Tribolium castaneum: one gene and its partner. The protein of the gene in region 1 purifies or fractionates together with the protein of each later gene. This does not show direct contact. Links are inferred from orthologs where the notes say so. Each region holds a gene or a part of one and is shown in the gene's direction. Other genes may lie near its edges. The genes, in order: Polr2K and Polr3B.

Region 1 (2,454 bases):
AACCATGGGCGGGTATTGCGGATATTTGGCCACACTTGCAGGTAATATCGATATTAAGTTGGCAACATTGTATGAAATGAAGACAGTTTGTGTCTCAAAACGTAAAATATTCGACCCTATACAGGTTGTTTCAGAACTACTTAGTTTTTGACGTAATTTATTTCTTCCAAAATCCTCCATTTTAGAAATAAAATATAGGAGTTCGTATTACTTGTATTATCTTATTTCTGATACACCTTGTATATTTGATGCATGGGGTAATTAAATATCTATTAATGATATAAAAAAGGTAAATATTAATGTTTAAGTTTGACAGTCAATGTTGCCAACACATTCATTATTCAGCATCGCCAACTTATTTTCACATGTTAGGTCTCGCTGGGGGTGCGGATGCTGCGTACATTTACGAGGAAAAATTCACAATTAAAGACTTGCAACAAGATGTCTACCACATGGCTACGAAAATGTCCGAAGGTGTACAACGTGGTTTAATTTTACGTAACGAAAAAGCGTCAGATAACTACAATACCGACTTTATCTACAGATTGTATTGTGAGGAAGGAAAAGGCTTGTTTAGTGCCAGGATGAACGTTTTAGGTATTTATATAGACGTTTGTTTGTTTAAAAATTTAATACTTTTTTTGTGTGTGTATTGTTAAGGTCATATGCAACAAGGGGGTTCCCCCACACCTTTTGACCGCAATGTTGGTACCAAAATGGCGTCCAAAGCGGTCGAATGGATGATCAACCAATTAAAAAGCAATATGAGTTCAGACGGCTCAGTCAGTTGTTCTAGTCAAGACAGCGTCGTTCTGTTAGGAATCGTTAAAAGACAATACAAGTTTACACCAGTCGCTGAGTTGAAAGAACAAACCAACTTTGAGTACGTTTATAAATTATTAAACTGTTTTTTATAATTACTTTAAATTGTTTTAGCTTGCGTATGCCTAAAGAGCAATGGTGGTTGAAACTGCGCCCTCTATTGCGTATTTTGGCAAAACATGATTCGACATATGAGGAAGAAGGGATGTATATGACGATTGAGGATCGCAGTTTTATTAATTAAAGGCAACCGTAGCCATTTATAGTGAATTTGTATTTTTTAGCTTGTTTTATTTATTTTATTGTGTAGTTTATTTTATTAAATGAGATATTGTAAACAAATTTTGGCCATATTGTGATGACAATATCGATATTTGAAGACGGGTCAAGTGTTACAAAGTACGATTCGAGCTGGGTATGTGGAATGGACGTATTATATTTCAATAAAATTTTAATAAACTATCAAAAATTCCTGCACCTTTTTGAATTTCGCGCTTGTATACGTTGGCGTTGCCAACCGTTGGAATAACAAAAAAAAGATGAAATTCCCTAAGTCGGCATGGTGGCGTTGTTTTTATACAAAATTTATTAGAGGAGAAAACTACGTTCCCGCTCGTTTGTATTAAAAATTGTGCTAATTTAAGTGATTAGGATGTCGGAACCTTCGACCAAAGACTCAGGGGCCACGAAAACTCCCATGGTTTACATTTGCGGAGGTACGTGAAAGTGAGGTTATGTTTTGATTTGAAAATTTTCGAAAATTATTTAGAATGCCACAATGAGAACGAAATAAGGCCGCGGGATCCAATCAGGTGCCGGGAATGTGGGTACCGTATTATGTACAAGAAGAGAACCAAACGATGTATCCTTTTATTATCAATTACTAACACTTGCAAATTTTCAGTTAATTTTTCCTTAACTTTGATCCAGTGGCCGTGTTTGACGCCCGGTGAAAAAATTGTAATTAATTAAGGTTGGAATAGAGTGTTTTTTACATTGGGGTTATTATTTGCAAACCTGTCTTTCCCCTTTCCTACGTCCGACAATTCAAGCACCTTGGGCACCACCTGGGGCAATGCATCGATTTCCCAGGGCCCAGTTGTAGCGAAAATTTCAAGGTCTCGCGCAAGGGCAGTGCAGGACCACTTTCTGCAACGCAACCTCCTCTTTAACCAAATTCAAGGTCGTCCATGTGCGATCAATAAAACTAAATACACGCAGGTTCTACGCCGGTGTCTGAGCGCGCCGGTCGCGACGTGTGGCTTCGCCGTTGAAAACGCCGAGAGTAAAAAATTCGCCGATTTTTGGACTGACAATTGTCGGAGGAGTGAAGGTGGTGCAGGACGTGGGGGCCAATGATGGCCGTCTAGGGCTGCGATAACTGCGTTGTGTTATTGCACCACGTGCTGAAAGGGCGCCGGCGAGGTTTACCGTTGCGTGCCGGTTTCCCGCCAGCGCACTGAGGTAATTTTGATTTTTGAAGTGTTTTTTTGATTTTCCCCAAAATGTTTTTTTGAGCCTAAGAGACCACAACCATGGTGTGATTTTATTAAATTTTATGGAAAAAACCTATCACGTAGGATAGGTTTTAAGGTTTTGAGACATTGGACAGCCATGCATTTTGTCGGATTT
Region 2 (4,566 bases), on another chromosome or scaffold:
ATTTGTATCTATAGATGTTTTTTATTAGAGTAATTTGATTAGTAAAATTTTTCGCAAATAAAAATTATTTTGTGGTAATTACAAATTAAAAAAATAATGATTTGTTAAAGTGCAATGCTCATTAGGTGACTATAATAAAATAAATAAAAATAAATCATTAAAACTGTTCTAGCGTTCTAAAGTGTTTTTTTTTTTATTTTTTCAAACACAATAGCAATGCCAATTAATTGTGAACACCATCAGTAATTGAACTTTTCTTTGTCATTCTTAATAAGTTATTAATTTTATCACCAACGAGCTTAGGAAATGTAATAGACAAAACTTTTTATTTAAAAGAATACTCATTTTTCCCATGTTCCGTTCAAATAAGCTTTGTTAGGAGGTTGCACAATGAGTGATAGTAAAAAGAATTATACAATTCACACAGTATACTCGTACATGTTACTTCTCAATGTTCTCATGTTCTCACAGAATTCATGTTTTTTTACAATAGATATACTTATTTCGTCTTTTGATATGTAAAGTAAAAATAACTGCTAAAAATAGTTATTAATAATACGAGTGCGAAAACACAAGCTTAAAGTTCGAGGGCTGTCGTTATGCAACGAGCGTATGCGAGAACCCGGAACTTTAAGCGTTTTCGCATAAGTATTATTAAGTTTTTTTTGTTGGAACATTTTACTTTAAAACACGTTGCTATGAGAAGCGAGTTTTAAAATAGTGAAAACATTAATTTAAAACACGTTACTATGGGAAGCGTCTTTTAAAATAGTGAAAACACGCTGCTATGGGAAACGTGTTTTAAAATAGTGTTTTTCTATTTCGGTTTCGTACTGAGGTCACTTTCATTACGATACGCGATTTGCGTATCGTAATATCCAACGGAGTTCTATAATAATTACACTAAAACCAGGGTAATTTATTTGGATAATGTTTACAACCTAGTTTTCTGACAATCATTTGTTTCAAATGTATATTTTAATCAAATAAATCAAATATGAACCTTTAGAGGCTCTTGTACCATACATGATTCAGTGCAAGTAAGTAATTTGAGATCTCATATACTAATATAGTCTAGGATTCAGATATTAAAAAAGGCTTAAAATTTTACCAACAAAAAACATTTTTTTAATTTACCACTTATAGAAAACTTTGTATATAATGAACTGATTTTGATGCATTTTCTGAATATGTTATAACTTACAGCCGGATTCCACTGTATTTTATTTGCTATTTTAGATTGTTCAGTAAGTTTTTATAGGCAACCAATCATACGATTTTTCGAACGGAGGCTTCTTTCGTAACAAAACACGGTGGCAAAGTTTCTTTTCTAAATCTGACGTCCCTTAAGTAGCATATCACCTAAAAATGATTTTTTTTATTAATTTTAATTTTTTATTAATGACAATAAATTTCATGGCAATGTAAAAGTATACTAATTTCACATTACATTATTTGGATTTTTATCAGTACTTACAATTTCAAAGTACCCATAAAAAATTATGTAAAGTATTTGTGAAATCTGGTCTTTAAAACACACACTATATAAGTATATAGTATAAGACTAGTATATATAGTATAAAACTATAGTATATTAAAGTTAATATACTATTAAAATTTTGAAATTTTTAATAGTTTTTGCAATCGTGTTTTAATGCAACCGAAAAAAACTCAGTTCGAAAAACCGTATAATTGGTTGCCTGTACACCCAACTCTCTACACCACATAACCTACATGTTTAACTTCACATTTTCAACATGTAAACAAATAGTTATTAAGCGTAACAGTGATAAACTAATTAATAAGTTGCAACAAAAAGCGCTGAAATGGATTTTGACGATCCCGCCCTTCTCAAAAAACCAATCAAAGAAATCGAAGTAATTCAAGTTTCAAATTACAAAACCTAAAAGGTATTCAAAAATCATTTTTAGGAAAAATGGAAACTAGTGCCCGCCTTTTTAAAAGTCAAAGGATTAGTAAAGCAACACATTGATTCGTTCAATTACTTCATCAACGTTGATATTAAGAAAATCGTGGAAGCCAACAACAAACTAGTTTGTGATGCCGATCCTTTATTCTACGTCAAGTAAATTATAAGGCGCTTTATAAGTTTGGTTTTATCTTAATTTCGTAGATATACAAATGTTTATGTTGGACGACCGGACGTTGACGAAGGCTTCAACATTAGCAAACCTACAACCCCTCATGAATGTAGGCTGAGGGACATGACGTACTCAGCCCCCATTTCCGTAGATATTGAGTACACTAGAGGCACTCAGCGGGTATCCAAAGCTGGTTTAATGATTGGCAGGTAATTTATTAGAAAAATAAAAAAAAATATTGTAAAAACACCAATAATTTTTTTAAATAACAATTTAGAATGCCAATTATGCTCCGTTCCTCCAACTGCGTCCTCACCAACAAATCCGAGTACGAATTGGCAAAAATGAACGAATGTCCTTTAGACCCCGGCGGCTATTTCGTCGTCAAAGGCCAAGAAAAAGTGATCTTAATCCAAGAACAGCTCTCCAAAAATCGAATGATAGTTGAAGAGTCCAAATTTGGGGTCCAATGCGCTGTCACCAGCTCCACACATGAGAAGAAGTCGCGAACCAACGTCGTATGCAAGGCCAACAAGTACTACCTAGGACATAACTCCCTAACTGACGTAATTATTTTGTGCATTCATCGTCAAATTCCCAACAAATTTTTGCAGTTAGTCCCTGTTTCAATCATCTTCAAAGCTTTGGATGTGACAAGTGATAAAGAAATCTGCGAATTGATCGGAGTTGAGGATATTTCTAAACTCACTCCAACGTTAGAGGAGTGCCACACTTTAAAAATTTACACTCAGCTGGGGGCACTTAAACACATAGGTTCGAAATTAGTAGCTAAACGTTACGTGACGTCTGCTAGCAAAATGAAAACGCCAGTTGATGAAGCGAGGGACGTTTTGGCGACCACTGTTCTAGCCCACGTGCCTGTGGAAAACTACAATTTCAGGATGAAGGCCATTTATTTGGGAGTGATGGTCAAAAGGTAAATAAAAAAGTCAGATCATAATCACCGGGTGACAAAAAATTGAAATTTTAATTTGGCAACCCTGAGTATAAAATTCTCTTGTCAATTGTCTGAGTGTTGCCAATTTCAAGGTACAATATTTAACAATTTTTTGTAAAAAAGGGTGATTGAGGCACAGTCGGACAAGAAATTCATGGATGACAAAGACTACTACGGCAACAAGCGTCTCGAATTGGCCGGCTCTCTCCTTTCTCTTATGTTCGAGGACGTTTTCAAACGCTTTAACTGGGAACTAAAATCCATCGCTGAAAAAACCATCCCAAAAATCCGAGCGACTCAATTCGACGTTGTCAAGTATATGCGCTCGGATCTGATCACCAATTGTCTGGTCTACGCAATTTCGACGGTAGCCAATCACAAATCGCCGCGATTCGGCTTCTGATTGGTCGGTTTCAGGGCAATTGGACCATCAAGCGATTCCGAATGGAGCGTTTGGGTGTGACTCAGGTTTTGTCACGGTTGAGCTACATTTCCGCTTTGGGGATGATGACCAGAGTTAATTCGCAGTTTGAGAAAACGAGGAAGGTTTCAGGACCCAGGTCTCTGCAGCCGAGTCAGTGGGGAATGCTGTGTCCGAGCGATACACCCGAAGGAGAGGTATATAGTAAATTTTGTTTGCTTTTTTATACATAATATTACGGAGCAAATTAAATTCTCTGACTCTTTTTTGTCTTACGCCATTTAGTTCTGTTTTTATCATTGATTGTCTAGCAATAGCGTTCGCACGTTTTTAAATTGTGCTCGTTGCTCGCAAAATGCAAACACTTCAGTTAAAACCATACAACAAAAATTGATAGAATAAAGTAGCTGTTTGGTGATTTTTTTATTCGATCGGTGAAAAAATTAAAAAAAAAATTCTCGATGTACTTATAGGGAAAAACGTTCTATTATACACGTAAAGAAAAGTTGGCATTATCTGCTCGTAATTCCTTTCAGAAACCCATCACTCACAGATAATGAACAGCTTTTCTTTACTTGTATAATAAACGACTATTTTTTAACGATTACCAATCTGGTCAGCTGGAATAAGTATTATTGGTTGCATATTTATAGAAATTCAGAATAACTCACTATTGATTCACCCTGTATAGAAGTCTAACTTTACTAATAATTAAGCTACAGAAGACGGGAGCTGAGCAGGGTTATCCTGTATGAATGATTTGTATAAAATTTCCTTTTTTTTTGTTAATACGACTTCTTTACCTTGTCAGGCTCTGTTGAGCAGAGTTTAAAACATCGAACGCAAGCCAATGCTGTAGTTAATATAGTTATTAATAATACGAGAGCAAAAGCTTAAGCTTAAAGTTCTAGAGCTGTCGTTATGCAACGAGCTTATGCGAGTGTAATTTAACTTTTTTTGTTGGAATATTTTAATTTAAAACACGTTGCTGTGGGAAGCCTTTTTTGCTAAAAATTAAGATAGGCAATATCTATAGTCAAAAATTTTATTTACCAAAAAAAAATTCATAACTCGAAAACTAAAAG

Evidence for each region.
Region 2: the proteins of Polr2K (region 1) and Polr3B purify together in Homo sapiens (affinity purification with mass spectrometry; 3 studies listed by BioGRID and IntAct, with this or other methods). This does not show direct contact. The link is inferred for Tribolium castaneum from reciprocal best matches to the Homo sapiens genes POLR2K and POLR3B.

Annotation. Positions count from the first base shown.
Region 1 is NC_087394.1:4,870,938-4,873,391, reverse strand, and holds Polr2K (DNA-directed RNA polymerases I, II, and III subunit RPABC4), read left to right. Parts: upstream 1-1,346; 5' UTR 1,347-1,474; coding exon 1,475-1,538; intron 1,539-1,591; coding exon 1,592-1,684; intron 1,685-1,752; coding exon 1,753-1,775; 3' UTR 1,776-1,818; downstream 1,819-2,454. Other genes in the region: Pfk (ATP-dependent 6-phosphofructokinase), read left to right, coding at 1-41, 373-597, 661-883, 937-1,066. UniProt on the Homo sapiens protein: DNA-dependent RNA polymerase catalyzes the transcription of DNA into RNA using the four ribonucleoside triphosphates as substrates.
Region 2 is NC_087398.1:9,958,367-9,962,932, reverse strand, and holds the start of Polr3B (DNA-directed RNA polymerase III subunit RPC2), read left to right. Parts: upstream 1-1,683; 5' UTR 1,684-1,826; coding exon 1,827-1,877; intron 1,878-1,931; coding exon 1,932-2,086; intron 2,087-2,134; coding exon 2,135-2,311; intron 2,312-2,379; coding exon 2,380-2,668; intron 2,669-2,716; coding exon 2,717-3,039; intron 3,040-3,183; coding exon 3,184-3,427; intron 3,428-3,477; coding exon 3,478-3,678; intron 3,679-4,566. UniProt on the Homo sapiens protein: Catalytic core component of RNA polymerase III (Pol III), a DNA-dependent RNA polymerase which synthesizes small non-coding RNAs using the four ribonucleoside triphosphates as substrates.